Alligator mississippiensis: one gene and its partners. The protein of the gene in region 3 purifies or fractionates together with the protein of the main gene of each other region. This does not show direct contact. Links are inferred from orthologs where the notes say so. Each region holds a gene or a part of one and is shown on either strand. Other genes may lie near its edges. The genes, in order: RMDN3, WDR44, VAPA and VPS13A.

What was found.
Region 1: the proteins of VAPA (region 3) and RMDN3 purify together in Homo sapiens (co-immunoprecipitation; 4 studies listed by BioGRID and IntAct, counting the BioPlex papers as one, with this or other methods). This does not show direct contact. The link is inferred for Alligator mississippiensis from reciprocal best matches to the Homo sapiens genes VAPA and RMDN3.
Region 2: the proteins of VAPA (region 3) and WDR44 purify together in Homo sapiens (affinity purification with mass spectrometry; 3 studies listed by BioGRID and IntAct, counting the BioPlex papers as one, with this or other methods). This does not show direct contact. The link is inferred for Alligator mississippiensis from reciprocal best matches to the Homo sapiens genes VAPA and WDR44.
Region 4: the proteins of VAPA (region 3) and VPS13A purify together in Homo sapiens (co-immunoprecipitation; 3 studies listed by BioGRID and IntAct, counting the BioPlex papers as one, with this or other methods). This does not show direct contact. The link is inferred for Alligator mississippiensis from reciprocal best matches to the Homo sapiens genes VAPA and VPS13A.

Annotation. Positions count from the first base shown.
Region 1 is NC_081825.1:240,765,654-240,773,296, reverse strand, and holds the start of RMDN3 (regulator of microtubule dynamics protein 3), read right to left. Parts: upstream 3,262-7,643; 5' UTR 2,964-3,261; coding exon 2,780-2,963; intron 1-2,779.
Region 2 is NC_081831.1:81,640,119-81,648,078, forward strand, and holds the start of WDR44 (WD repeat-containing protein 44), read right to left. Parts: upstream 3,374-7,960; 5' UTR 3,298-3,373; coding exon 3,215-3,297; intron 1-3,214. UniProt on the Homo sapiens protein: Downstream effector for Rab11 which regulates Rab11 intracellular membrane trafficking functions such as endocytic recycling, intracellular ciliogenesis and protein export.
Region 3 is NC_081826.1:95,451,188-95,458,710, forward strand, and holds the start of VAPA (vesicle-associated membrane protein-associated protein A), read left to right. Parts: upstream 1-4,398; 5' UTR 4,399-4,635; coding exon 4,636-4,711; intron 4,712-7,523. UniProt on the Homo sapiens protein: Endoplasmic reticulum (ER)-anchored protein that mediates the formation of contact sites between the ER and endosomes via interaction with FFAT motif-containing proteins such as STARD3 or WDR44.
Region 4 is NC_081826.1:199,030,041-199,038,182, reverse strand, and holds the start of VPS13A (intermembrane lipid transfer protein VPS13A), read right to left. Parts: upstream 3,339-8,142; 5' UTR 3,286-3,338; coding exon 3,186-3,285; intron 1-3,185. UniProt on the Homo sapiens protein: Mediates the transfer of lipids between membranes at organelle contact sites. Binds phospholipids. Required for the formation or stabilization of ER-mitochondria contact sites which enable transfer of lipids between the ER and mitochondria.

The DNA of each region.
Region 1 (7,643 bases), on a different chromosome or scaffold from region 3:
ATGCTAGTGAAAGCAAATGGAAGATGACCAGACACAGAAGCAAAACTTACTCTTTCTTCAGTGTCTAGGCTAAAGGATGTTCTAGAAAAGAGAGAGCATAAATGATTAAAAGTAAATTAAGGTAGAACACTGTTATTATAAGTCTACCTTTTCTTCTACATAAAAAAAAAAAAAAAATCACACTCAACTTATATAGCGAGTGCTTATAATCAGATTGTGGCAGAACTGGACTTTTCTGTCTTCAGTCACTAGCTACTGAGCATGGGAGTTAGGGATACAGCCTCTGAATTAGAACTTCCTAGACTTTAAATGCTGGAGGCTGCAAGTGAGAGAGGAACAGTGGAAAAAAAAATCAACCCTGGTCAAACTCAGTTCACTCTCCCTTTCAGCATCCACTCAGCCACTGCATGACACAGGCCTATTTGTTACCTAGGGAATGCGAGCCAATGGCCACAAGGAAACACTATAAGCCTTCCTTAGAAAGGGAGGTCACTATGTAGACAACAACTGACTGCTTGGGACAACTAAAAACATAACAGGGATGGGAGTAAAGGCCAAAGGTGGAGTTTTAGGGAGTTTTAGGCCCTGCTTGGCCAAGCAGGGACACCAAGCAGGGCCCATCAGACACTGTGACAGACTTATTTGTCACCTTGAGGGGTGTGGATCTATAAGCCCCCTTTAGTACTGGGGGCCACTAATAACATATTATAAATTACTTGGGACAAATAATAATGAAAACAGGGACAGGAGTGGAGGTCAAAGGGTAATAACCAGCAGAGCACACTGGACCCTATATGATACAGGCCTATTTGTCACCTTGAGGGGCATGGGCCTAGGCCCATCAAGTAGCTTATTGGCCTCCCTCAGATGGGGAGCCTACAAAAAAAGTTGACAACTGATTACTGGGGCCAAATAATAAACAAACAGGGACAGGAGTGCTGGTCAATGGTTAATAACCAGTGTGCCAAGGGGAGACACCAAGCAGAGAACACCAGGCACTCTGTAACAGGATAGTGGGCGAGAGGGACCTACGGTCTAATCCAGTAAGTGGCAATTCTTATGTCATTATGAAATACTTTTGCAGTGTAGGTTTTGTTTTAGTATTTTAGTGCACTTACCATATTCAACTGAATCTAAGATGAGGTTTTATTCTCCATTTAACATGGGCAGAGCCTCATGTTGGAATTGAGTGCCAGGGCTACAGCCAGAGCTGCTACTGCTGCTGCTACCTGAACAGGGCCAGGGTGGCTTGTAGAGCAAGGATGGGGAGACACACCAGGGGAGACCATGTGATGTGAGGCAGAGAGAACTGGGAAGACTACGCATACAGGAAGAACAAGAGGGAGATGCTGTAGTGCAGGATGGCGGGAGCACAGGGGAGTCTGCAGAGCAGCAAGGGAGTTATTCCTGCTGCTGCTGCAGCTCTCCAGCCCTGACCCAGCAAGGGACATAGTTGGGGTTGTACTACCACTGCTATCTAGCCAGGGCTGGAGCCAGAGTTGCGCTGGGCAAGCAGCAGTGGGGGGAGCAGGTGGCAGAGGCGTAGGAGCTGGGGGGTAAGGTGGCAGGGTGGCAAGTAGCAAGGCGCACAGGCAGCAGGAAGGCAGAGGCACTGGTGGGAGGGGGGTAGGGGTGCAAGTGACAGGTGGACTAGTGGGGGCACAAGGGTTAGAGATCAGTTGCCTGCCCCCAACCTCCTTCCCTGCCACTGCTTTCCATGCCACAGCAGCAGGGTGACAAATTTAAGACAACTCCCACCCACATAATTAGATTCAATACATGGAAAATTACAGATTTTCCACGTACAAAATGTAATGGGGGGGAAGGGTATCATCTTACATTTGAAGTCACCTCAGATTCAGGTAAACATAGCAATCTTTTGGGTCTTTCCCTTGGTTATTTTTGTGGGATTTTGTAAGGGCAACAGGAATTCAAGGCCTTTACCTGTCGTTATCAATTTATATTTGGTAAAAATCCTACTTTTCTTCAACTTGAGCCTGAAAACAGGGACCTGGCTTATACATGGGGGTTGACATAACTATACTACAGGAGCTATTCTGGGCAAGACCCGGAAGCTGGTTGCACATTGGCAAGTCCCTACATTTGCCTGCAGTCCCACTGCATGCATGGGGGAACCCACCACAAAGATCGGGGTCAGGGCACAGAATGGGAATGTAAACGACGGGCGTCTAAATGGTGACAGTCGGAGACTGCTCCCTTTCATCACCATGTTCTTTGCTGGGGAGGCCAGCCTGCATGGCCCGGGTGCCACACATGGCACGGGAGGTCTCTCTGTGCAACACGTGACAGATGAGGAGGGGGCAGGGAGCAGAGCAGCAGATCAGGCAGCGGCAGAAAACAGAGCAGCAGATCTAGCAGGAGCAGGGGATCAGCGTGGTGCTGGGGGAGGGCGCAGGGCTAAAAAGGATGTAGGAGAAGCTGCCCCTGCTGCTCTCAACCAGGCTCACACTCTCTAGCTCTGCCAGCGCCTCCACACGGGGCTGCTGGAGGGCACGAGAAGTGCAGGGCAGAGCCAGCTGCGGGGCAGCCGAGGACGGGAGCCCCGCAGCCAGGCGCAGGGCAAGGCAGGGGGCAGGTCGCGGGCACCCACCCGAGGCGCCAGCTCTCACAGGCTTCACCGCGTGCTCTACCCTCGCCCCGGCCCCGGGAGGCTCTGGGCGCAGAGCAATGCCAAACAGGGGGGACGGGACGGGGCAGCACCCTCCGACCCACGGGGCAGCCCAGGCGAGGGGCGGGGAGCGCAGGGCGTGGACCGTACCGCAGTCACGGCGCCGCGAGCCCCCCGCCGCGTCCTCCGCGCCCTGCCCGGGGCAGTCCCCGGCGCTGCCGCTGCGCCACGGCCTGTTCCTCCTCTGCCGGCGGAGCGCGTACAGCAGCCCGAGCCCCGCCGCAGCGCCCAGAGCCAGCACCAACGCCAGGCGGGCGGGCCCCGGCCTGGCCATGGCGACCTGCAATAAGCGACCGGGTGTCAGCGCGGGGCCCGCCTGCCCACGTGCGCGCCTCCCGGCCCGGCCCCGGGGGCGGGGCTGCCTGCTGTCATCCTGCGGCCCCTGGCCGCTGGCGCGGACTGTGGCGGCGTTGCTGGCGGCCCCTCCGGGGGCTCTCACAGCCCCCAGTCCCGCCGTGCACACGACATAGGGCCAAGCACACAGCAGGGCGCCCGGGGTTACTCACGCCGGCGCACCCTACGCTTTCTGCTTGGCTTGGCCCCACTCGGTCACCGTCCCGCCGCAGCCCAGACAAACACCCCCTGACGCACAAAGATGACGTCTACAGAGCGCCGAGCTTCCGTTCACCCTGGCCTCGCCGCTGCCAGCAAGCGGCAACGGAATGACGGAATCGAGCACTGTCTAGCACCCCCTGCTGGAGGGCAAGTGTCCGGCCATGCGCAAAGGGCACGTGACCCGCAGGGCCCAATGAGCATGGGGCAGGGGAGCTGAATGGGAGGATTCCTGCCCCTGGGTTAGTTCAGTCTCGAGTTGTGCGTGCGACTGCTTGGGACGCTGCCCAGTGACTGGGGCTGGGGAGCTCCGGGCCTGCGGCTCTCTCTGTGGGCTCCCCCAGGCGTCCTTTTGGCCTTCCTGCCCCAAACCCTTGGTCCAGTGGTGCTCAGGCAGGGAGCTGAGGCGCCGTGAGAGCCTTGCAAGGGCGCTGCGTAGCGTTAGCACTCAAAGGTGGGCAAATGCGCGTCATGAGAGAAGTGTGGAGCCATGTCCAGACAAGTGCAGGTGTGCGGGATGTGCTGCTGTAGACCCGTGTGTGGTGCCACACCACACATGCAGGTGCTCCCCATGCTGTGGTCTTGCAGCTGGGTGGGGGAGGGGGTTCTTGATCCCAGTTTAAAAAAAAAAACCCATGCCACAGAAACGGGGGGCACATATGGTAGCACTGCACATCACCGGAAACTGGAGCCTGGCTGGCTGGAGCCCCACTCCAGCTGCTGGCCAGGCTTCCTGCTGTGACTCCAGCTCTGGGTGGTCCCCAAGACCCCAGGTAAGGCTGCTGGGGCCAGTGCAGTTGCTGGCTGCAGCCTCCCCTACCCCACCTGGGGTAACCTGCCATGTGCCAGAGCGCACGTAGTACAGGTGTTCCCCTGGGGCAAGCAGCAGTGACACAAAGTATGCTGCTGCTATGAGTCCCCCAGGAAACAAACATCTACACTCGTTTGGATGTAGCCAGAGATTTCAAATAGGATTCCACCGTGTCAAATAGAACCCAGCAGGCCAGAATTTTTCTGTAATCTTTGCTACAGAAGAATCACTCTATTCTTTTTCTGTAGTCAAAACAGGAGTGAAAGCTGAGAGCTGGCATTTTCTGAGGAGTGTCTGCCCTCTAAGAAAGTTGAGAACCACTTCTCTGGGTCCTTTTCATGCCCCAGTTGCATTTTATGTTGAACTGGGCCACAAGGAGGCAGCGGTTTTGGTGGAGAGTCAGGAAATGGGACAGGGAAAGCCAAGGCTTTGGATCTTCCAGCCTTTCAACGTGTTGCTCATTTAAGCTTGGATTCTTTTGTCTTCAAAAACTTTTGGCCTTTGTGTTGTGTTCAGGTAATTTGAGAAGTAAAGCAGTTTCTCAGTCTCTGAACTTTCCAGCTATCTTGCCTGGAAATCTATTTTTTGCCTTTCAGATAAAGCTTCTACCTCAGCTGCACTCAGTGAAAGTAATTGAAGCATGTCTGTTCTGATAAAGGTCAAATAATGAAAGAAAAAAAAAAAGACTGCACAACTTGAAAGGCTCCAAACATTATTTCCAGTCCTCTTATCAGTAAAGCAATAACAGATCCTCGGGGCAGCATGAATCTGAATTCATATCACTGCGGATATTAAAGATGATATCAGAATATATCATACCACAATTTTAGTTGAAACTCTGTTGCTTGTCTTATTTGGCAGATACTTGCCTTTATTAAAGCAATAAAGAAAGGGACTATGCATGTGGTAGGTGATGTTTTAGACCCTTTGCTTCTTCCCTTTAACTCCTTCCTGCAATAGAAAGCTGCCTTAGTTTCATGGTTAGAATAACATCATAGAAAGTAGCGATGACTGTGAAAGCCTGGCCAGACCTACACGTGAAATTTAAATTACTAAATTAAAATAACAGTGTGCCCAGCCATGCACAGTGAGGGCTGCAAGGACTTAAACCACTTCCTGCCTGCATTTCTGAGAGTGACTATTGCAGCTAACATATACTAGGACTTTTGTGATAGCTCACTTACTGAATATTGGGAAGGAGGCTTTTTCTGTCATTTAGTTTTATAGCTCATTTGTGATATAGTTATTAAAGCCTTTCTGTCACTAATGGAATGAGGTGTACTGTCAGTCCTTAACTACACTAGGTTTGAATCCTGCTTTTGATTGCAACAGTAGAGCTGGAAAAATCTCTTTGGATCCACTGCTCTTTTTCTCTGCCATTATAGAATTGTTACCTTCTGTATGCTATGCACTGTCTAGTCTAGTCAGGAGTCTAGTCTAATTTTAAAGGTTGTAAGAAAGAAGGCCTGGAATATCTCTTAGAAGGCTGTTCCACAGTTTGGCTGACTTCACTAGTAGGAAGTTTTTCCTGCTACTCAGATTAAATTGTCTTTCGCTTTCCTTGTTGCTCTGAGAGGTAGACAGGGTAACACTTATGCCAGTGTGTAAGATGAGGGTAACAAATTGTAGATGCAGTATACAGTTGTAGCAAATTCTGTCACACCTTTAGCTATGTTTCATTCAGGCAGCAGAGTGATATATCAATTAGGTTGTAACAACTGATGCAGACCCCTGAGGGGAAAACTCCCAACTCCCAGTCCCACTCCCTTTTTAAACTGGTTGAAAGTTACATTTGCCCATAGCATTAGTTCAGGGGTTGGCAGTGTTTTTCACTGGAGTGCCTAAAACACCCCAACCTCAACCCAGGCCTTGACTTGGCATGCCAGGTGCAGATGAGGGAAGCTGTGAGGTGTGCAATCTTAGGGGCTGGGGTAATGCTGCCCTGGCCCTTTCCCCACGGTGCTCCCCAAGATTCATGTGCAGCTGCTGCTGGCCATAGAGGCTAGGCTCACAGCAGGCAGCAGACAGGTTGCAAACAGCTACACCAGGTTCCAGAGCCCTGGCCCCATTCCATTGGCGACATGTAGGGGGTGCACGCAGGTGCATGTGCACCCCCTGAGTTTGGCGGTGCACCCCCAGAGATTGGCTACTGCTGATGCTGCTGGCAGTGCCTGTAGACGGTTGCCGCTCACAACCCCTCCCTCACTGCCGACACCACTGTGGTTGCCTGCAGGAGCTCCCTGCTCACCGCCACCAGCACCGCCACCCCATAGCCAGTGGCAGCTGCATTTGTGCCTCAGTACATGGAGCAGGGAAGGGGCTGAGGCAATGCAACCCCAGCCCCTCCCCTGCCAGCAATGAGCCAGGCAGGGGTTCAGCAGACCTCAGTGCAGCAGCTTGCAGCCTCCCAGTCATGTGCCATAGCAGCATGGGCTCTGGGCAGGTCCCTTCCACCCTCCATGGAACCTGGGCTGCTCTCAGCAGGTGGCAGGGAGGCTGCAAACAGCTGCACCAAGGTCAGCTGAGCCCTGGTTGGACTTGTTGCTGGTGGCAGGTGCATGCATATCTCTGGGTGGACAGCAGGGGAGGGCCCAGGATTGCACGGCCCTGGCTTCTTCCCTGTCATGCGCCCTTAGGTATCTCTGCAGCTGCTGCCAGTGCTGGGGCTCTATAGCCTGGTGCAGCTGTTTGCAACTTTTTGGCTGCCTGCCACATCCTGCCAGAGCTCTGGACAGTTGCTACCTGCCAAGGAGCCCAGGCTGCTTGCAGCAGGGCATGCAGCCTCCTGGCTGCCTGCTGTGAGCAGCCTAGGCTCTGTGGCCAGAAGCACCTGCCCAGAGCCTTGGCCGGATCTGGCGTGCCAAGCAAAATGGCTTTGTGTGCCATGCTCTGGCATGTGTGCCAGGAGTTGCCGATCCCTGCACTAGTTATACATCCGTGTCTTAAATATTTCTCCAACCTTGGTCTGGACTCACTTCAACTTTTTGTAGAGTTACTGGGTGCATCTAATGATAATGGCATCCATTTATGCGTGAGTGATGGTGGATATTGCAGCTGTTCTACTGGCTGATGGTACAGTGGTCTCAGGTGTACATGGCGTTAGGGGCTAGTGTATAAACAGGGTGCTTCTACTCATGCGATTTCATAGATTTCATAGACATTAGGGCTGGAAGGGACCTCGGAAGATCATCAAGTCCAGCCCCCTGCCCGAAGGGCAGGAAGTCTGCTGGGGTCATAGGATCCCGGCAAGATAAGCATCCAATTTACTCTTGCAGGTGTTCAATGTAGGTGCTTGAGCCACTTCCGATGGCAAGCTGTTCCAGACCTTGGGGGCTCAGACAGTAAAGAAGTTCTTCCTTATGTCCAGCCTGAAACAGTCTTGCAGTAGTTTATAACTGTTCGACCTCATCATCCCTTGGGGCGCTCTGGTGAACAAACGTTCCCCCAGATACTGGTGGTCACCCCTGATAAACTTATAGGTGTCCATCGGATCACCCCTGAGCCTGCGCTTTTCCAGGCTAAGGAGCCCCATGGCTCTCAGCTTGTCGTCGTAAGGTCTGTTTTCCTGACCTCTGATCATGTGTGTGGCTC
Region 2 (7,960 bases), on a different chromosome or scaffold from region 3:
GATTTTCCAACCCTCTCTTCCATATAGTAAATCTTCAGACATTTCTTACTCTCACGGCTCCCCAATATGAACTGAAAGCTCCAAGTGCAACCAGCGCTCCGGGGTCAGGACTAGAAACAAAAAAGTATGTTCTTCTTCTAAACTACAAGTAACAAAAAACTGCTGTCTGATCTAGATGGAACAGCCTGGATTTCGAAAAACATGTTTTAAAATGTGAATTATTAATACCAAGAAAGGTCAAACACAATGAAAGACAAACATTTTGACTACCGAATATGGTACAAAGAATGCTACCATGTTTACCCAAATACAAGATGACCCTGAAGTTAAGACAACCCCCCCAAAAATTAGATTCTAGATAAAGAAAATTTACAAATGTATTGTAATTTTCCATGTATGGAATCTAATTATTGGAGGATCATCTTAAATTCACCTCCTCACTACTGCAGTCAGAGGGGGGGAAAGGTGATGGGGGGCAGGCAGTGGGGGGTGGCGGGGCAGGTGGTAGGAGAGACAATAGGGGGCATGTGGTAGCATAGGCAGTAGGGGGAGTAGTGAGGGCAGGCAGTGAGAGGCAGGGAGCTTGCCCCCTGGCCACCTACTTCCACCACTTACCCTTCCATTGTGCCTGCCCCCCTCAGCCCCAGATCCCCCTTTCCCCCACCTTCATGCTGCTTCTGCTCCCCCCTGCCCTAGCCTTGGGCCTCCACCCCCTTCCTCCCATCTTTGACCCCCTTCCCCCCTCCCCCCAGAGTCTTTACCACCAAGCTGCCCCTCCACCTCCCTTCCCTTTCCTCTGCCACTCTTTCCTTGCAAGTTCCATCCCTGCTGGAGCCATGTCATGAGCATGGCTCCCATCCGGTCCCATAGCAGCAGTACAGAGCTGACACTGGAACACATGCTCTGTGCTCCAGGCTGCAGCAAGGATGGAGCCTGCTGGCATGGAGCAAAGGTAAGGAGTGAGGCAGAAGGGGAGACAGAGCATGGGGTGGAAGACAGCAGTGGTGTCTTGAGGCTGCAAGGGAGGAGTGTTGGGGGAAGAGGGGGAGAGGCAGGGGTGCAAAGGCAGCAGCTGCCTCCAGCCTCAACCCTGGGGTTGGAGCCAGAGCTGCAGCTGCTGCCCATCCCCTGCCACCTCATACTCATTGTAAGGTGAGGGGCTCCCCTTTCCACATTAAATAGGGGAAAATAACCCTCATCTTGTAATCGAGTAAATGAGATACTTGAAACCACAGCCAGCTAACACATGCTACTTTGATTCTGCGAGTGATACTTAGCACTTAAATTTTTAATTATTTACAAACATTAAATAGCCTTCACACAACTTCTGCAATGTGGGCAGGAAGCATAATCCCTATTTTGTAGGCAGCAAAACAAAGAAAGGTTGTGCGCCACTCCAAGGTCACAGAGGTTTCCATATAAATGAAAGGATTAGACCCATCCCTGTATTCAGAGCCCTAGATTATGTCTCTTTCTCTGCATTCCCAGATAATAAAGCAAAACCATGAATTTGGACCATCGCTTTGCTAAATTATAGTTCCTTTTTCTGGATTCACTCCCATCCAAGCTGCTACATACATATTCATGATTGAACCCTATGTTATTAATGGCAAAGTCAGGATTTAATGTTTTTGGAGAAAACCGCATTTAGTCAAATATCTAAGAACTGCCAGTTCCCACATTTTTGTTATCTTTCCCCCCTGCCCCCCCATGAACACACTAAGGACACTCAGAAATCAACCATCACATTTTTAAAGACTGCCAGTGTGGGATGCCATCTCTTACGAAAAGAGAAACATTTTCTGTGTCAGTGACCACTAGCCAAAAAAGGTGAATCAAAGAAAAAAATTATAATTTTGCACCTTAAACATTTCTAGAATGTGAACATGAATTAAAGGACTTCCACAGCCACATGTTAAATGCAAAAGACACCCTTTAAGACAGAAGTAATTTCTATGTCACTGTACATCAGAATAAGAAATAAGAACAGTTAACATCACGATGCACACAATCGGTCAGCTATCCTGTGTCTCGCTTATTTCCTACTCGACTCAATTTCCTCAGCAGACTTGTACACTACTGATTTGCCAGCATGATCATCCATTATTGGTTCTAGACACTAAGCCCAGCCAGTATTTTTATTATAGTTGAAGGGTTAGCAATGGAATAACATTTCCAACGACCTTCCTTTTGAGCTGCAAAAGGAAGTGTTCATATGTATCTATGGAAACAAAACATCCAATATTTGTTGCTTTGTGATCGACGGTGAGCTGTGGGCCAAACATTTTGGAAGCCGCCGCTCAAGGGGCTTCGAGTTGGCCGCTAAACGATGCGGCCTAACTGCGATCAGGATTGACACTAGGCGGTTTACACGCTGGGACTAGCATCCCCGAAATAAGGGCTGGTTTAGGTTTGCCTGAGAATACCGCTAGGAACACACAGCTCACGCGCTTTCTTCTCCACCACGCAACACACGTGACAGCAGGCTTCCCCGACACGGAGCACCCGCCCACGCACTGCAGACACGAGCCCAGTCAAGAACCCGTGGAGCGCGCCATTTTCGTTCTTTAAACAAAAAGTGTGGCGTTTACAACGGATAAACGGAAGAGAAAAAATTCATGGTTAATACCTCAGCTTCATAACATACTTCATGATTTAGATATTATTTTAGGATTTTACTTTTAAACCGTCACCGATACACATCAACTATACGATGCCGTACAACAAGCGAAAAAGGCCTATTCGACGGAGCCCCGCAGACACCGTTACGCGGCGCCAGCCACAAGCACGTCACCAGAAGTCTCGTTCTCTGCACCGGCTATTTTCCTTTGTGGCCGTGGTTTACCGCTGTGGGGCTCCCCAGTTATACACAGCGGCGAGGCCGATCGCTGCACGTGCGTCTTCCCTTTCACAGGACGCTGCCGCGCTTTACGGCTGCACGCCTGCCTGACGTTGGTCTCGAGACGAGACCCTCAGGACGTTGCACGCCTGCCTGATGTTTATATGAAGACAGGACTCTCAGGATGTTGCACATCCCTGACAGCGCTGTGGGTGTTGAGGGCAGCCCGCGGACGAGCGTGTCTCACCATGATCGGGTCCTGGCGGGGCGGGCCCCCCGGCCCAGCCTCGAGCATCCTATGATGCGTCGCGGCTGGCTCCCCGCTGTCCCCTCACCCCCGCCCCGCTCCCCCCAGCCCGGCGGCCCGGCACTCACGGCGCGGGCGAGGCGCCGCCCGGGGCCACGTCCACGTCCTCGGGCGCGTCGTAGAACTCCTCGGTGTCGCTGTCGGACGCCATGAGGGGCGGGGACGCGAGCGCGGAAGGGCCCGGCCCGGCCCGAGGCGCGGGGTGAGCACGGAGCGGAGGCCGCGCGCACGTCTCGCGAGAGCGCAGTGACTTGCCGGCGAGGGGCGGGGCCGCGCGGGTGGGAGGGGCGGCAAGGGGAGGAGGGGGGAGCGGCTTGACGCAGAACGTCCAGGGGGCGGGGCTGCAGAGGGTTCAGTGGTCGCGCGCGGCGCTCGGGCGCCCCCTGGCGGGGAGGCGCCGCAGCGCCCCGCCCCGGGAGACGGGGAGCGCTCTGTCACACTCGGTGCACCCTTGTTCAACCCGCGGCACCCCTCCTAGACTCGGGGCACCCCGTTAGACTCAAGACACCCCGTTGGCCGGATGCATTCCTGTTAGGCTTCAGACAGCCCTGTTAGACTCTTGGCACCCCTACTAGACTCAATGCACTCCTCCTAAACTCGATTCACCCCTGTTAGACTCGATGCGCCCCTGTTAGATTCACTCGGGACACTCCTTGTTAAACTCGTGGCATCCCTGTTAGACTCGAGACACCCCATTAGACTGGATGCATCCCTGTTAGACTCGATTCACCCCTGTTAGACTCAATACACCCCTGTTAGATTCACTCGGGACACTCCTTGTTAAACTCGTGGCATCCCTGTTAGACTCGAGACACCCCATTAGACTGGATGCATCCCTGTTAGACTTGAGGCACCCCTGTTAGACTCAATACACCCCTGTTAGATTCACTCAGGACACACCTTATCAAACTTGCAGCACCCCTGTTAGACTCAGGACACCCCATTAGACTTGAGACACCCCTCATTAAATTTGCAGCACCCCTGTTAGACTTGTGGCACCCCTACTAGACTTGAGGCACCCCTGTTAGTTTCGATTCACCCCTCTTAGACTCAGAACACCCCTTGTTAAACTTGCGACACCCTTGTTAGACTCAGGACACCTCTTGTTAGACTCAAGACACTCTTTGTTAGTCTCAATTCACGCCTGTTAGACTCGAGGGCCCCTTGTTAGACTCCAGGCCCCCCTTGGACAATGCCCGCTCTGAGCTTTCACTGGCTGTTTGACTACAGAAAACTGCTAGAGCCATTTTCCTGCTGCAAAGCGCTCAGCCAGACCACAGCAGGGCAGGGTGTTTCTGACCTCTGGGATTCCCATCTGAACTCTCTGGGTTTATCCCGTGAATCGTGTGTCCTTTGGCATCTCTGGCCCAATAAGTGGTGGGTGCCAGGGAGGGCATCGAATGCGGGATGGGTCACTCTAGGAATCCCTGGTTTGATGTCCTCCCAGGACAGCATCCACATCTGCCACTGTCAGAGTAGTGGGCTGCAGGGTCTGGTCCTGCACAGCACTGCTTCTGTGCTTCCCTAGCTGTGCTACTGACTCATGGCACCTCGCGGCACCCTTGAAAGGACCTCAAGGCAACCCCAGGGTGCTGCGGCACCTGGCTGAGAACCACTGCTTTTGGTGCTTTTTAAACATGTTCTTGACCGTAGGGTTCACTTTATACGGCCGTTTCCCCTCCAGCGCCAAGCAGCAGATGGACAAGGCTGCGGTTGCACGGTCAGAACAGGAACTTCTTTCTCACACGTTAAACGCCTCTTTCAGTTATGTCTGTGCAGTCCTTTGCTCAGTTCCTGTTGCTGAGCGATGCTTCTTGAGCAACCACTCTTCCCTCCCATGGTCGCTTCTCTGCTTCCCCGCGACCGCTCTTAGGAAGCTCCTTTCTCCTGCTTGCAGCTGGCCGAAATCCCTCTCTGCTAGTACCCCAGCCCCTAATCCATACAGCCTAGTCTGGAGGTAACAGGCCTTAGGCCTCACCAGCTTCACTTCCCAAGGGAGATCTCTGTCCCCCTTCTATGAGAGCTGTCTGCGAGAGAAGCTGACTTCTCAGCTCGTCCCCCGTGATGCTTAATGTCATGGTGTCTCCACGGAGGCCGCTGACGAGCCCAGAACACGTCTGCGGCTATACAAGCACCCACATCTTTCAGACATCCTCCAGAACTGCTTATGAGGCTTTCCAAGTATTTGATAGTTGCCATTTGCTCGGTATCATGGCCGCACAGATTAACAATGAGCTGGTTATAGTCTAGAGTGAGAGGGTATTAAACAGTCATTGTCTGGGGACTTCATTCTGTCCTGGTTGATACGCAGGCCAACAAACTGACCGTCAGCTGCAGCAATTTGCTCCACCAAGCGAACAAGACAGAGACATCAACCTTTCAGAGCAACGTGATGCTCAGTTCAATGCCCCTGACAGCTGCTTCTTCCAGCTGATCCATCAGCTGCTCAATACTGATACTGAACAAGGCCTTGCCAAACTCCAGTGGAAACAGGAAACCAAGCTGTGCCTGACTACCATTAGCTCAGACCCAGCTTTCTGCAGCACTGTACCGCTCTGCTATCAATAGCACTTCCTTCCGGGGGTGGGAGGTGCTGAATTTCATTATCAGATCCCACAAGCTTCATGATGAGCTGAAACAAAGGCCCGACCGAAGTCTATGAAAGGTTCAGCCCACGATGTATTAAATCCAGGTGTATTCCCCAAGAGCTGTCTGGCAGTACAGAGGGGAATGAGGATTCAGGTCTCTGTTACGTCGCTAACTCGAGACATTTACACAGAGACAGACTGCCACTGAGACTGAAAACAGCACAATGCAATTATAGGAGCCAGAGGAGTCCTCTTAGTTTGTCAGGGAAGGGACTGTTGTGCCAGAGAGAGCCGGGAAGAGCTGATGCGACATAAACCCAATGATGCTTTTATCTGCCTTCAGCAACTCAGTGGGATATTCCAGGCCTGTGGTGCCTTCCCAGGGTGCTGTAGATGAGAGAGTCGGGATCTCTTCTTGGTTCCTGGTCCATCCCAGAAACCCCGGGCAGCGCCTCTTGCTTTGCAATTGCTGCCCGATAGGTAAACTTTGAAGTGAACAGCCAGAAAAAGAATCAGATGCCAGAAATTAGACCACAGGGGACGTACAGCACTGAGAGTGCTAGACACCTGCATAATGCTCTTCCCTGGCACAGCACTGCTAACACATCCACGTTGTCTTGGTAGCCTCATTAGCAACACAGGAGAAAAGAAAAGCTCCTATTAAGGTTTAAGGCCCAAAGACAGTAATTAGAACTGACCTGTATTGCACCACTCCCTCTTTTTTCAGGGACTGTTTTCACTTATATAACAGAGCTAAGCAAAAATTGTTCCACCTAATCTTTAGCTTAGGATACATCGGCTTTTCCCGGACCTGAGGAAGGGTGTGTTGTGCCCGAAAACTTGTCTAATATTTCTCCCAACTGCATTGTTGGTCCAATAAAAGATTTCACTGAACAAATCTTGATTCTCGTACGTTCTGTGGAGCATCAGGGCTACGACGGCACTTCAGCACTATTCCCACCAGTCTGTAGGGAAGATTGTGTGTGAACAGCACAGGCCACAGTGCTATTCAGCCAAGAGGAAGGGATGCAAAGTAGGGACAGTGGAGAGCCCAGGTCTAAGTTGGTCTAGATTAGAGGTGGCCAACTTGGCGGCAGCATGTGGGCAGAGGAAGGGGACTGTAGTGGCACTCAGAGTGGGTGCAAGGCTAATTTATGATGCACCTGCTGAAAAGGTTGGCCCTGACTGCTCGTGACTACAGGAAACAACACACAACACATGAGCAGGGGATGCTCTAATCTTCCTGGTGCTGGGTATTAGAGGGTGACATCACTCACAGAGAAGAAGCAACCAGGAAAGCGCCAAACTGGTAATGAGCAGGGGCCAGGATAACCATCACGTCCCCGGGCAATCCTTGCCTTTCTTTGGTGAATGGAGAGGACAGGACCTGGCTCACACCTTGCACTGCTGTGTGGGGAGCAAAACACCACGTACAGCAAATGACTGAGTTGTGATTCACAGTGCGGTTGCTCCTGTTCTGGCACCAGTCTGACACACAGATTGCATTAGAGCTGATAGGAGAGCTGCTAAATTATCAAAGGCCGCAACAATGTAATGTCAGCTGGAAAGACAAGCATCCTGAGAAGCTGAAAGATGCATTTGAAATGTTCCTTGAATTGTTTTGTGCTTTGCCAGTAGCTGACATCAGTTGTACGGCCGGGTATATCGTTACACAGCGGAGACGACATAGCCGGCATCTTAAAGCACACCCAGAACCAGGTCGGGATTTGAGGTAAAACTCCATTTACTCTGGTTGCATACACACATAACTACAAATCAGAATCAGGCCCAGGCTCCTCTACATAAAATCTTTGCCCTCGTATTCAGAAAGCTGTCAGCCCACTTATGTCCAAGCGGAATCACAGCGATTGTTATGAGCAATATGCATGACACATGATCTACAGGCTCCCTTTCCTTTATCCTGCACATTGATTCTCAGTCAGGATGCCACAGCACCCTGGGGTGCCTTGAGATCCTTTCAAGGGTGCCACACGATGTCAACACTGTTAGGTTTACCACCTTAATTCACAAGATAAACCCAGAGATTTCCAATAGAAATCCATAGCCATGGTCTTTCTCAGGTCTTTGCAACAGAAAAACTCCTAATTTTTTTTTTTTTTGGTGGGCAAAAAAGGGGAGAAAACTAAGAGCTAGCATTTTCCAGGAGAAGCCTCAAATCTGTCCAGGGGTGCCTTGAGTCTAAAAAGCTTGAGGACCCCTGATCTG
Region 3 (7,523 bases):
ACCCTACCTACTATGAAAATGTATGTTTGGGAGAGATGCAGGCAAGTTTTCTAGAGTATTTACTGGACCATCGTAACTACAACCCTCCAAACCTACTATAAGGTGCTGAAAGGTATAAATACATGTAAAGTGCTAAGGATGTGCCTTTATTGGAAAATTTAACTTGGGTCTTGTTCCTTTTGGTCTTCCTGGTGCTCAGAGGTGTGTTGAATTTGCTGCTTCCATCCTTCCAGTCCTCTCAATCAGCATTGGCCACTTTGTGGGCCTTTCTAGCAGAGCAGGTTTTGTTTAATATTCTTGTGCTGTTTCAAGCCACTCAAGTGAGGCAATTGTAGTAACATTGTTTCCTTGTTATCTAGTATCTCCTGATAGCACAGTGGAAGAATGGATTGGATTTCACTAGCAATTCAAGTCTTATCAAAAGGATATATAGGATCAAGACAATAAACCTGAAAAGTATGTAAGAGGTGATGTTGTCTTGAGCTGAAGACTATGTCTCTTGAGTTTAACCTACTTGATTTACCACTGTCCAGATAAAGAGTAAGGAACCAAATGTCATAATCTCATAAAGTGATTTCCTGCTTTCTGGGTTTAAGAGACATTCCATTAAATGATTTTCCCAGTTTTATTCCCATAGAACTGAAGTCAGATTAATTATCATTTGGCAAGAGGCCCTTTTGGTCAGCCTATTGTTTAAGGTGTTACTGAAACCTATTATCACAACCTTAAATTAGCAACCCAAATGAGTCATCCAGGAAACTCCATCCAGCTGACTTTTCCCTCAGGAAGTAGAAATAAAGGGGTCTAAAATGTCATTTCTTATTGGAGACAAAGGAAAAAAAGATGAATAAATGTCACACCTTATGTCACTCAATTACTAACCCATGATTCACACTTTCAGAACGCACGATCTGAGAGTTCTTAAGAAAAGTTAAATAGTTTGCTCAGTTCTAAAAAACTGACACAGTAAAAATGGAATTTGGGGTTCCCAATTTTTTTAGCATCACAGAAACATCCACATCAAGTCTGTTAGTATTACAAGCAAAATTATATTTATTCTAAATACCTTGGAAACTCAGCGTGAAATGTAAGAATCCCAAGCATCCCTAGAATAGATATTTAGCCATTTGAAGGTCATTAAAAACTAATTTCTACATTGCTAACAGAAGTAAAAATACAACTGAAATTAATTTTTGCCATTAATAATAACATTAAAATTAAATAGAATTAAAATCTGATGGTATTGTGCTAATCACTATTAATTTATGGAAAATGGGTTTTGGCAGACAAACTATTACTGTTTTGTGTGAATCAAAGTTTGACTACTGAAGGTTACTCTGTTGGTCTTATGTACTTACCCTAATAGAGGACATTTGATTTAGTGCCATAGGATGATTAAGGAATACCACAAAAACATGGGGTTCTGAAGGGACCTGTTTTTGGTCTAATGCTTTTCAATACCTTTATGAATGATCTGGAAGAAAATATGAAATCATCCCTGGTAAAAGGTACAGAGGACACAAAAATTGCTGATTTAATTGAGAGTGATGAAGTCAAAATTTTATGTGTATTTTTAATGGTTGTCTATAAAACAAGAATAACTACAGAATATTCTTTATGTATTTCTTCGTGACGTTCCAATGCATCAAAGCAAAATTTAAAGAAATCTTTAAGTTCTCACTTATTCATAATTTATGTGTTGCATGTTGAAACCTAACAGATTCTCACTGGTATCACCTGCACAGTAACTCTATAAATAATTAACTCTTAGCTGTCAAAGGACTTCATCAGTGATACCATAGATGTTTATTTTTTCTGAGTGGAAAGGGAATAAATAGAATAGTCTCTCAGATAAAACACAAGAACGCTAAGCTAGTATATGACTGCTCAGATACAAACATAGATCATACCTGCAGTACACTGGATTTGTAAGGTTACTACAGAAATCCGATTTCTTTGCCTTGTGGGATATTAACTAAATTTTAAAATGATTAATCTCTAATCTTCCAGATCTACATAAAATGAACCAGAAACTTTTACTCTAATTAGCCAGACACACCTGTCAGAAGCAGCTTTTTTTGTAGATCTGTCTGCTACCCCAGCAAAACAGTAATAGATAATTTTTGATGACTTATAACATACGGAGGCTGGGGTGTTAGTAGTGACAACTTTTTAGATTCTTACCCTGCATATGTGCACATGCTTACGTTAATGTGTGTGTCAGTTCCTGTTTTTTCGGTGGATGTAAAGTTAAGATAGATAAAAGTCTGCAGGATCAGGGCTGTAGACAACATAACTTTTATTGATTATACCGATTACTATATTTAGTCAAAACCAAAAGTGAGGTTTTTAAGACGAGGTCCCACCCCCCACCAACATGGGGGAAAAAGCTTTGTCATAGATTCAAGTAACATCTTGGGGCAGGGGGCTGGTGTGGCCCTGGCTCTGGTGCAGAAGCGGGAGCCACAGCAGCTGCCTGCCCCACACTGGGGTGACTTATGCGGGGAGAAGGCATGTGATGGAGGACGCACAAGGGAAATTACACAGTGGGGGAGGTATGGGGAAGACCATGCAGTGCGGGGTGGGGTGTGTGGGGGAGACCCACAGCATACAGCTTGTGGGGAAGTGAGGGAGAAACAGCCTGACCACCCGCCATTGACTTTCCACCCTGCCACTTATCTGTGGCTGGGGGGGGGCGGGGGCGGGGAGGGAAGGGGCAGGCAGCAGGGACATGGAGCCATAGGTGATGGGAGAAAATATTAATTGAGGGGTTGGGTAAAGCTTAAAAGATGCTTTACTGTGCTGCTTTGGGGGGCGGGGGTCAGTGTAGGGTGGGGTGTAGGGGGGTGGTGCAGGGCAGTGTGGGGCACGCCTGCCTGACTCCTGCCCCTCTCTCACGCAGGGCTATTGCAGGGCCACCACATGCTAGTGTTGTATGTGGCGGTGGAGGAGCATGTGGTGGGGGTGCAGGGTGTGGCGCTGCAGCAGCAGGGTGTGGCAGTGGTGCTGGAGCAGTGAAGCCACGCGGCGCTGAGAATGCTTGGGACGCTGGCCTGGCTGCCCACCAAGCAGCACCGGGCACTGTGGGATGGCAGCACTGTGGTGCTGCTGCTTGTTGAGCAATATATATATAACTGTGTTTAATGGATATTTTTGTAGTCAATAAAGCTTCTGACTGATTATCAGATGAGTGCTGGTGGTTAATCGCATAGTTCTCCTTGTCCACAGAGAAGTAGAGCTTGAGTTACAGCCCAACACTGCCGTCACTGGCCGCCACAAAATTAGTTTGGAGGGGCTAAGCCCCATTAATCCTCGACTTCTGCTGCCGATGCATGGGGCAGCAGTTTGGAGAGACAGACAACTTTCTTTGGTTAATTTTAAAGCTCCCACCCACTAATTTAATTTTATGACCCCTTTGTGGGCGAGACAGGCCTGTCACCAGGTCTGAGGAGGAATGACTGGCGTACGTGACAGCGGGGAAGGGTTTTACATGCAAAACCCTCCACCAGCCCTTAACTGCAGCCAGTGCTGGGAAACATTATGCTGTGAAGAATGAAAAGGAAGAAAGGCTGGCTCTTGCTTTTTGAGTCTCATACAAGAGCTTTTGGCCAGGGTGGCTTTGGAGAGGCCTCCCCGTCTGCATTCATCTCCACGTTCTGCTCCAGCTCCTTTAGCAGGTTACAGGTGACCCCAGCCTGAGGCCCTTGGGACAGGTCCCTCCAGGCCCTGCAGCAAGGCAGTGCCCTCTCCCCAGGCAGAGGGATGTAGGCTATGTGGAGGGCTGCCTGTGGTGGGTGTTGTGATGCACTCCCCGCCTGGAGGCAGCAGCACATGGGCCTTCAGAGCCAGCAGCTTGGAAGGGGGTGTATAGGGTGGGGCAAATCCACAGGGGCTGCTGTGTACTGTTGGGCCCTCACCACAGGGCTGAGACGTGCCCCTCACCCCTGGGGCTCCATCAGCCCCTGCTCAGGGCCAGGATTAGCCTGGCTGCTCAGTGGCGCCAGTGGTAACAGCTTTGCTCACGGTACAGACCCTGGAAGGACTACGAATCCCAGCATGCACCGCGCCCCCCGGTCCGGCGGCGGCACATTGCATGCTGGGGCTCGCAGTCCTTGGAGGGTGCGGCAGCCTACGCCTTGAAGGTCGCGCATGCGCAGTTCTTTCCTTAGTTTTCCCTTGCGAGTTTCGCTCTTTTCCAGCTCGCGCGCCCCCTGCCGCTTCGGCGGAGGCAGCACGAGACCCAATCGAGTGCGCTGTCAAACGCCAAACACGGGTCGGGGGAGAGCGCGCACGCGTGCTCGTTGGTGCATGCGCAGCGTGTCCCCCTTCCACCCCCACCGCGGTGAGGCTGGCGCGGGTTCGCAGTACGCGGGCCGTTGAGTCAGTTCCGACAGGAAAGGGCGGGGGGAGCGGAGAGGAGCGGAGCGTGCGCAGGCGCACGGAGCGGGGACGAGGCGGCGTTGGCGGCGGCTTGGCTCGGCCCGGCTCCGTGGCCCCAGCGTCAGCGCCACTGCCCTCTTCCTCCTTCTACCTCCTCCCCCCGCAGCTGCTGCCGCCGCCGCGCCACCCCTCCCCTACTGTCGCCAACTGCCGCCGCAGTGAGGGCGCGAGGCCACGAGCGAGGCAGCGCGCGCGATGGCGGCCGCGGCGGCCCTGGCAAAGCACGAGCAAATCCTGGTGCTCGATCCGCCCACCGACCTCAAATTCAAAGGTGCGGCCGGGGTCGGGGCGGCGGTGGCGACTGCGGCGGGGTGGGGGAAGGGCCGCGGCCCAGCCCGGCGCGGGCGCAGAGCGGGACGCGGCCCCGCCGCCATCTTGCGGGGCCGCCAGCGCTACTTAGGCCCGGCCCAGCCCCGCCAGGTCCCTGGGGCGGGGCGGGGCGGGGCGGGCTCCCCTGGCGCCTCTGGGCCCTGCCTCCGCCGCAGCGAGCGGTCGAGGCTGAGGCTGGAGGATCGCCCTGGGCGGCGATGAGTTGGGGGCAGTTCCCTTGAGGCGCCGGGGGGGAGGTGCTGCCACGTCGAGGGCAGAGTCTGGGATGAAAACTTCTTTCCCCCGAGCAGTCCGCTGCACGCATGCCCCCTCCCGCCCACGCCAAGAGCCCTTTGGGAATATTTTGGGCAGTGTCATTTTGGAAAGTTGCCCCTTTGCAGCCCCAAAAGGGCGGGAGGAACTGGGCGTCCATCTGGTGACAACATTGCCTTTGAGATCTCGCAAGTGAATTGGCTCAGAAATGCCGACTGGCTGCTCTGTAGCGCAGCTGCACCGTCTCCTGGATTCCTGGGTGCTGGGTTTACCCGAGAAGGGCAGGGTGAGAAAGGGCGGGTGTATGCTAAAGCAAAGTAAAGCAGAGGTCACGGCGTTGTAGCGTAGGCCTGTCCATGCAGAATATCCTCCCGAGTTGAAAGGAAGCAGCATTAATGGATGAGAAACAGATGCGGGGGGGTTTAAGACTTGCTGTCCTTGACTTATTGGGCGGCCAGGTACGCATGAAGCCTAGGAGCAAGCTAATTAATACTCTCAGCATGAACCACTAGAGCAGCAGAAGTACGAATTGTAAGTGGAAGCTATTTTTTTTTCCATTTAGAAGTCTTGGGAAGGCTTTCGTGGAAGGCCACGTGTGAAAGCACGCGCATGCTCTGAAGCACAGCAGTGTGCAGTCATTTAGATGTGTAGCGGAAAATCAGTACATCAGTTCACGTAGACCTGTGTGCTGTTCCAACATGCTGCTATCCCAGCACATACCTGTCTGATTTCATTGCTCAGTGTGCATACTGAAAACAACTCTTTCTTTCCTAATGAACTAACATTGACTGTAAGGTGTTGGCAGAGTGAAGCTCTAAATCATGTGGTCTCAGATTGGAAAGAGGCATTGTCCTGTAAAATGTGTGCTGGTTCAAATCTAATGTGTCAAAAAGTTGGGTAACTTTGGTAAACTCTTGTTTTTGTGATTATAACTGATTTGCCTAGATTTTTCCAGTGGCTCACTCAGCAAAGTACTATCGCATTACTAATGGCATTCCAGAAAATACTAATGTCAAACAGAAATCCACTTACGAGTTTTATAGAGACAAAGTACCTTTGACCACTGACAAATAGCTTGAATCATACTCAACTCTTGGTCCCTTTTTTTTCCCCCAGACTTAGTAAAATTTGGTTCAGAAGGGTCTAAAAGCATCCCATTATCATTGCTGTGTTTTGGGAATGATTCCCATGAATAAGATTAAAATCCATTGTTTCTAGTATCTGTAGTCATTACAGGTGTCTGACTTAAAACCCCCGTGCTTGAATGGCATAAAACCAGTTCTCTTTCTTCATATAGTCAGTCATAGCCAATTCTGTGAGTTTGTAAAATTAATCAGGTTCGTCTGTTCATTATGTGATGGTTTTTCCCTTCCAAATGTTTTACAAAATGATTTTAATTATTTTTTCTTTAAACTTAATGGTAAAAACCAGATACAAAGGTGAAATGAATTCCTGATCGTCTCAGTGTATCACTGGCAGAGCTGAGAACTTTAAATTTGTCTCTCTTGCAGCCTGGTCTAGTGTGTGTGTTTGTTTCTTAATTTGTGAACCATGCTAGTGCCTTTAATGAGCCATTTCCCTTATTTTACACTAAAGTATTTAGTATACAAATTGAGATTTGGGAAAGTATAACTAGAGGATTACAGTAGATTTTGAAATGCATTATTTGCTTTAAAAACTTTTAGATTGGAAAGTGGAACATCTGTTATCTTTAATATAGGTTATTTTCACCTGAACTATGTGATAAAAATACATTTATCTGGAGTTCTGGTTCTGTGAAACCCATTTGAAGAAGCTGTAATTTTAACTCCATGAATCTCTTGAGGGTAAAAATATATATTCCATTTTTCTAAAAAAAGTCACCTGCTTAAATATTGGTACTACAAGTTTCTTTTTAAATCTCTCTAGTGCTATCTTAGGATCTCAACGTGTTACTCTTTAGAGTGATAAAGACTTGTTTTGAATACACCTATATTCAGAAGTTGGAAAAAAGAATGGATATCTTGTATTTAAGTTACTTTTTTGGGTGGCAGACCTTTTTTTTTATCTGTAAGCTCCAGCTAAACCTTGCAATGAGGTGTGTTTTTACCTCTACTGTCAAAATTATTTCAAAATATAGTGTTCATCACTGACAAGTCAGTTGTTTTGTCAATATTTATTAGAAACATTTATGGCCTGTTTCAGTTTGCCTTCACATTCTGTTTAACGTAACCTGTTGAATATTCAACATATTTAATTTTGAGGGTTTTTAAGCATTAGCAAGTATCTTCTCTTCTGTCAAGACTATTCCATTTTTGTAGAGGAAGTAAATTAAAAAGTAACTTAAGATGTAAATGTTTAGGATGTTAAAAATTTATTTGATGGATTAAGTTAGTTTGTTTTTTTCAGTTTGGAAATTGAAGCGAGATTAGCTAATTTATGTACTCTTTGGGTTGCAAATCCTGCAGAGAAAAATATGAATGCAAATGCACTGTTTTGTTTGGAATTAAAAAAATATGGAA
Region 4 (8,142 bases), about 100 Mb from region 3:
ATTTCAGGTATTAAGTCTAGTAGTTGTGCATGCGAGCATGAAATGTATTTTTGGGGAAATTCTTGGGCAAATGATTGCTAGCAAATACAGGGGCCTGAATTTGATGGCCCAGGCAGCCCTTTCCAGTCCTATGTTTGTAGCCAAGCAAATGTTTAAATAGGATGGGGATACTGTTTGGAAGTAGTAACTTAAGTCTTAGGATGGTAAGTTCATCTTATTTCAATACCATGCTAAGAAGGTATTTTCTTCCTAAGAGAATTTAGTTCTAAACTATTAATTTTACTGAGAACACAAAATTAGCAGCAGACATTAATGATCCTATGACTAAGATCATTAGGGCTTATTGACTACCACCATTCACTGCAGCAGGGCAACATTTAATGGGAGGAGTGTGTATTTTACCAAGCCTTGGAGAATTTTTGTAATGAAAGGATATTGAATAAAAGCAAAATATGCAACAAAAAATAAATGTTAAATAAGTTAAAATAGTAAAACAGAAGGAACCAGAAGGAAATCATCCCTCTCTCCCCCCACCCAACATTTCCCCTACTGATGCTGTCTAATTAGGACAGAGCTAAAATGTTGCATCGGTCCAGTGAATCAACTGGATGGAATTAATTTTCAATACACCATGCTGAATAAGGGCAGGATACTTGTTTATTAGATCAAAGTAAACCAAAATGCATAAAACTTTCCACAGAAATGCATGGCAATCATCACATATTGTAAGCATATAAACACCAAAGTGGAAGTTGGATGGAGTCCACCACAAGATAGGAAAGTAAGAAAAAACATGTCTAAATTCCTTTAAATGACAGAATTGATTCTGTTTCAAAGTGAGTAACTGACTAATCCTAAAGTCAGATGACATGTCATGCTCTGGCAGCTGAATCGTAAAATTGCAGGTCTCTCCCACCAAGGTAAAATTACCCATTCCTATTCAGTTGAAAAGAAGTTAAGTAGATTAAATTCACTAGTGCAAACACCAATATTGTGTGGGTAAACTACAAGGGGGACACATCTTTAAGAATATTTGCAAAGGGAAAAGAAAAAAACGTTTACCCTTTGTAATTATGTAGGCAACCGGTAAGTTTTTATAAAAATAGGCAACTCGTGCACTTTACATTAGAAGTTCAGGCTCTATCCACCCCAAGACCACATGACAACTGATACACTATTGTTGGCAAAAGCATACCCCTGTATAAAGCCATAAAGATTAATATTAAATGACCTATTTTTTTGGAACACAAGAGTGGCAAAGTAATTAATTAATATACTGGATATATTCCATGTTTACTAATAACCCAATCCTTTTAATTCAGATACCATTACTGTGTGTTCAGTGTATCTTACATGTAATGGTATAAGGACCATTATCATGAGACCAGCAGAAACTGGGCTGCTCCAACTTTAGAAATGCTCAGAGACTAAGTGTTCATGGAGACAGAATACCTTCCTCTCAAAAGATGTTACTTTAGAGGTGGATCCAGATAAAGGAGCAATGTTAGAAAACAAAAGAAAGAAAGGTCTTTGTGTAGTAGCGAATCATGGGAAGTTTCCAGAATCTGATCTAAACATATGAATACCTAATTAAGAAAACAAGCCTCAGCCCTAGAGATGTAAAAATCCCAGAGGATTTTGACTCCTAATATGTGTGTTGACACCTGCTGGCCAGATGGAATTCTTACCAGCCTAAAACCAAAGAGTCTCTATTAACTATTACTTAAATCCTAAATTGTGCTCGACTTATATTAATTACTATCCTGAACTGAGTTACCCCCACTCCACCAAGAATAAAGCTTCTGTTTATTTTCCAATTCCTGCACACCTTTGGCTGAGTGAATCCGGATGCCAATGCAGCTTTATAAGAAATTACTTGCATCAAGGTGTTACTTCTGACATTAATCACTTTTGGGAGCTATGCTCTTACAGGCTTAAAAAACTAAGCCAACGATTTAAGAAAGGGCTGTCCAACCAACCACTCTGAGGCCTGCTGTGCTCTGCCCTGCTCTGTTATTTGCTGCCAATTCAGGGTCTTCAGACACCAATGGTGACTAAAATCAGCAACAGGGGAAAAAAGGGGGCGAATGATGGCAGCATTTGTGCCCTGGGTCCTGGAATCACACTGACAACTGCCACCACCTTGCTGCTAACGCAGGTTATCTGGTGTGTGAGAAGCTTTGTGATCCACATTCAGCCTGCAGGACTGGCAAGAGTGTGGGAATGACTGGGACACCTCTGATGGAAGGGGCCTAACAGTTTTTTCCAAAAACCCACGCATTTACCACTCCTTAAAATTTTAAGGTAAAATTCCGAAGTTAAAACACTGCCTGGTAAATTTATGCTGTCAAGTAAACAAAGATGGTTCAATTTCACTTGTCTTTTCTTCAGTGCTACTAAACTGAGCTGGAAACATTAAGCAGCGAGGAATGGACTGTGGGGAAGGGGGGTGCTGATTTTGGTCACCACTGGTGTCTGAAAAGGGAAAAGTCAATGCTGTCACTTCTGCCTTTACATGTAGTACTCATTCCTTTCAGGCTGGCGGTGCTTCTGCTCCAAACTCTGCGGGGGGGGGGGGGGGGGGGGGGGGAGGGAGCGTTTAAAAGACAATTTTGCAGCAGGAGCCTCTCTCTCTTTCATAGGGCGTCAGATACCAGCTCCCAAACCTACGACCCGCTGTCTGAACAGACCGAGCTCTGCTTATGGACGTTTCAAAGCAACACCGTAGGAGACGAACATTTCGGGCAGACGCCTGCGCGACCACGGGGTCCAGCCGACCACACGGCACTGCCTGGCAAGCTGCAATCTTGATGAACGCCCAGGCGGGGCACATGCAACCCACACGCTGAGCAAGGCCCAAAAGGGGACGCTGTGGGTGCAGGGGCTGGAGCTTCCTCGCCAAGAAATTGGGAGCCAAACGAGCTGTAAATCCCAGGCATGGCAGGTGCTTCCTGGCTGCCTAGCACCCGTATTTCTACCATGCCCACTGCCCAGAAAACAGGCGACTCGGGCGGGTGCAGAGCACGGGTCCCCTCCCCCTCATGCCAGGCCCATTAATCACCCCAGCGCTGCGGGGGTGGCGCGGGCAGCGCCCACTAGACGCAGCTGGGCGGGGGGGGGGGGGCCTCGCAGGGGCGGCGGCTGCCCCGGCCGAAGCAGGACCCCCTACCACCGCCCCGCGCTACCTCCCCAGATGCCCAGCTTCAGCTGGGAGCTGTCCAGGTTCACCACGTAGTCGCCCAGAAACCGGTTCAGCACGTCCACGACCAGCGACTCGAACACCATTGTGGCCCGGCTGCCGCTGCCGCCGCCGCCTCACGCAGCAGCGCACTGCAGGCCCCCTCGCGCCCTGAGCTCACGCTGCTCCCCGCCCCGCCCCACTGCGCAGACGCAGAAGGAACGCTCGGCGCCTGCCATCTATGGGGCGGTGCGCGCGAGCCGGAGCTGGGGGGGGCAGCCGTTGAGACCGTTGCGGCCGGGGGTGGGGCTCGCGCGCCTCTCCCGCCGGGAGTCGCATGTGTAGAGCGCGGCTGCAGGCCCTGGGGCTCGGCCGGGACAGGACAGGGCGGGGCGGCCCCAGGCGCGGGGTCGAGCGTCTCTTTGCCTCCCTTGTCCCGGCCTGGGAGGAGCGGAAAACTGGGGTTACGTGGAGGGCCATGCAGCCTCCTGCTGAGCAAACGGAGCCTCCCAGCCAGCTGCTGTCCAGGGGCACGAGACAAGAGGGTTTGCACCTTAAGAACTAATCCAAAGCGTATAGATTCGAGAACTAATCCCAAATGATTCAAGAACTCACCGAAAACGTATAGATTCTATACATGCATGCGCGCGCGTGTGTGTGTGTGTGTGTGTGTGTGTGTGTGTGTGTGTGTGTGTACAGGGGTGTAGGTTGTAGCCGTGTTGGTCTAAGGACACAACACTATTAATACACTTAATAACTTCTCCAACTATTTGGGTTGGTCTAATAAAAGATATCAAATTCACCCAAGGAACCTTGTCTGCCTGTGTACACACACACACACACACACACACACATATGCATAAATGTATATTCATGAGGACTGGACACGAGTCCTCTAGTGTCCAGTCCTCATCCTTGCCCCTGCTGCTGCAGCAGATTGTTCAGGGCAACCATTGGGCTTGTAAGTCACCTGCCTACCCAGGGGACCTAGCCTCCACCCCCTTCCTCTCTCTTCTTTCTCCTTTTTACTCTTTTGTCCCTCCCTTTTTCTTCCCCGCTTCCTTTCTTCCCTCACCTCCCCCATGCGGTCATCTTCATTTGTAAAGGACAAACAACATATATTCACACATACATATATCTGCATGCATGTATATGCATGCATACATGTATACACATACATATGCATGCATATATACATAAACACATATACATATAGCAGGGTTGTGCCACATTGGTCTTAGGACACAGGCAGGCAAGGCATTTGGTTAGATGTGATCTCTTTTATTAGACCAACTGAATATTGACGGGGTGGGGGGAAGCTTGCAAAGAACTTTTTTCCAACTAATCGGTTGGTCTAATAAAAGAGATCACATCTGCACAAATGCCTTGCCTATCTGTATATACATATATTTACATAAACAGATAGATAGATATAGCACAAGCCTTTGTGGCTGGAACTCACTTCATCAGATGCCATAAACAGCTTCAGCCCATGAAAGTTTGTTCTGTATGTATGTACACACACACACACACACACTTCAACGTATGTTTTATCTTCAAAAAACATTTTTATCTTCAAAAAACCTCTTGACGGCCATCTTGCTGGGATCATTTGAACCCAGCAGTCTTTTCTGTCCACATGTAGGGGGGCTGGACCCGATGATATGTAAGGTCCTTTCCAGCCCCTAACGACTATGAAACTATAAAACACACATACATACACACACACACACACACACACACACACACATGCAGGTGCACACATATGCACACACACATATAGTATCCGCCTAAGGTTGAAGACCACTGTTATGGACTGAGATGTAGTTAGTCTTGTTAGTCTGCAGTCAAGTAGAAGGCAGGGTAGATTTGCCACACATGCACACACACACAGATATTTATCCACAAATCTACCCTGCCTTCTATTTAACTTGTATTCTTAGACCAACATGGCTAAAACCTGTATCCACGAAAAATAATAGAGCAATTCTCACATTGCAAAGAACTCAGAAAGATTGCAACAGGTCAACACTATGGATTCCTATTAGAAAACTCTGGGTTTATCTTCTGAATCATGCTTCCCCACCTAACGGTGCTGATATTGTGTGGCACTCCATGGCACCCTTGAAAACATTTCATGGCACCCTGGTTGAGAATCCCTGGTCTATAAAGTGATACACTGCCCTGCTTTCTGTCATAGCATATTCCTAGCAGTTGTCTTGACCCATGTAGTTTCCTTGCAAGGTGTATCAGAAGACCGACTTTGCCTCTCATGGAAGTGATCGCATAGGCAGGGATCCAAGCATGAATGTCTTAACCATGCTATTACTGGACGTGGCTCTGAGCAGTGCCTTTCTCCCATCTTGTTTCTATTAGCTGTTACTGGTTGCTGGCCCTAATCATCTGTAGCAAATTCTGGGAAATTGGTTCTGGGCACAATACAGCTGCCAGTGCAGGCAAAGGCAAACCGTACCCAGCACCATCTCCAAAAAAGATTAATCTTTTACTCCCAATTTCTGAACCAGCTGTGGATGTGTTGGAGTTAAAGTTATACTACCGTTGCTGACAACAGGTGGCAGTAGTAAGTAATTCTGCTGATGTTGACCAGGGTTCTAAGGTATTGTATGTATATAGTTATACCAAGAGTGAATTGAATAGAAGACTGGGGCTTATATAGCCCCAAATTATTTTTCAGAGGTTTTGTGGTGTAGAAGGGAAAGATTGTATATCATCTGGGCCCCAATGAGCAAAAAATAAGGAATAAGAATTCACAGAATGCAACATGCTATGTACAAGAGTTTGTAAAGCACCTCATAGCAGATTAGTTTTTATATGTACCTATAGATATAAAAACTGAACAGTGAAAGGAAATAAATTTAGGGAGAAGTCTAGGGGGAAAACAGAAAAGAGATTAAAATGCAATAACATAACCTTACTATTTTGGAAGGAAACACAAATGAAAAGTTAGATAGAAATGTTCCAAGGAGATTTATGTGCGGGCAATAAATGAAGACATAATGTCAAAATCACTGTGGTATTCATAAGCTGCTATTCTCATATATCCAAAGAAAAAGATTAAAGAGGATTAGTAATAGGAACTCAATGATGCTATTGAATATTGATTTTAAAATTGTGCCCAAATCTATAAAGATTAGATTAATTTATAGTTGTTTTTAGTATGCCCAGGGAGATAAATTCTTTGACAAATATTTACAGCATGCTTACAGTACACTGTACTAGAAAATAACAGCTATTTTTTTAGTTCAGAGTAAACATCATCTTTAATCTAATAACCTGTACATTAAGTTATAACAATTATATATATTTTATATATTATCGGTTTGGTTTTAGAAATTCATATACTGAACCTTGATGTATAATATACTACTTAGAACATTTTAGTGGTTCAACCCACAGAGCCCTAAATAGCATTAAAACACCACTTTCTCTGGTTATATTTGCATTGAGTTATGACCACTTCTACATTTAATGCAAATACATTCGGCCTCCATCACTTGCTTGTATTTCTGTATTTTCTTTATGACTTAATGCTCCTTTTTAACTAGCTCTTTTGCTGCTTGTCAGCACTTACATTGAAGAAAAGAACAGTCCTGCAAATAACTTACAAAGCAAGTCCATTTCGTGCAGTTACACTGCTTATTTGAACTGATTATTTATGTACACGATCCTTCCAGTCAAGGGGAAGGGCCCGGGCAGGAGCCAATGCAACCCGCAGGTCAGTGCATGACTGTGCAGATGGTGTTGCCAGCCAGGATTCAGCTCCATGGCCATGGGATGTTGCTCCAAGAAGAAGGATTGCTAGGAAGAGAAGGGATTCAGTGAATGAAGAGAGGGAAGAGTATCTTCACTGACAGGCTTGCTAACCTAGTGAGGTGGGCTTTAAACTAGGTTTGTCAGGGGATAGAGACCAAAGCCGTGAGGTAAGTGGGGAAGTGGGAGACCCAGAGGAAGCACAATCAGTAGGGGGCAACAGTGGAGGCCTTCTCATTCTTCCTTACAAAGTAAGGCAATTGGCTACTTACCTCAGGTGTATGTATACAAACACACAGAGCCAGGGAAACAAACAAGAAGAACTGGAAACCCTTGCACAGTCAAGGAACTATGATGTGATTGGAATAACAGCGACTTGGTGGATTAGTTGCATGACTGGAGTACTGTCATGGATCGGTATAAACTGTTCAGGAAGGATAGGCAGGGAAGAAGAGCAGGAGGAGGAGTTGCATTTTATGTAAAAGAGCCATATGATTGCTCAGAGCTCCGGTATGGACCTGGAGATAGGTCTGTTGAAAGTTTCTGAGTTTAGAGTCACAGAGGAGAGCAACAAGGGTGATGGGGATCTGTTATAGATCACCAGACTAGGAGGGTGAGGTAGATGAGGCTTTCTGCAAAGAGCTAGCAAAGTTTCCTGATCACAGGCCCTGGTTCTCATGGGGGACTTCAATCACTCTGCTGGAAGGGCAATACAACATGACAAGACACTTCTGGGAGGCGCAATACAGAAGTGCACAGGCAATCTACAAAGTTTTTGAAGAGTGTTGGAGACAACTTCCTGGTGCAAGTGTGGGAGAGACCAACTAGGGGCCATGCACTTGACCTGCTGTTCACAAATAAGGAAGAATTACTGGAGGATGTAGAAGTGGAAGGCAATTTGGGCAGCAGCAACCATGAAATGATCAAGTTCAGGATACTGACAGCAGGAAGAAAGGAGAGCTGAGTATGGATCCTGGACTTCAGAAAAGCAGACATTGACTCCCTTAGGGAACTGATGGGCAGGATCTCCTGGGAGGCCACTCTGAGAGGAAAAGAGTCCAGGAGAGCTGGTTGTATTTTAAAGAAACCTTACTGAAGGCACAGGAAGAAACCATCCCAATGTGCAGGAAGAACAGCAAATATGGCAGGCAGCCAGCTTGGCTTAGCAGAGAACTCTTTGGTGAGCTTAAACA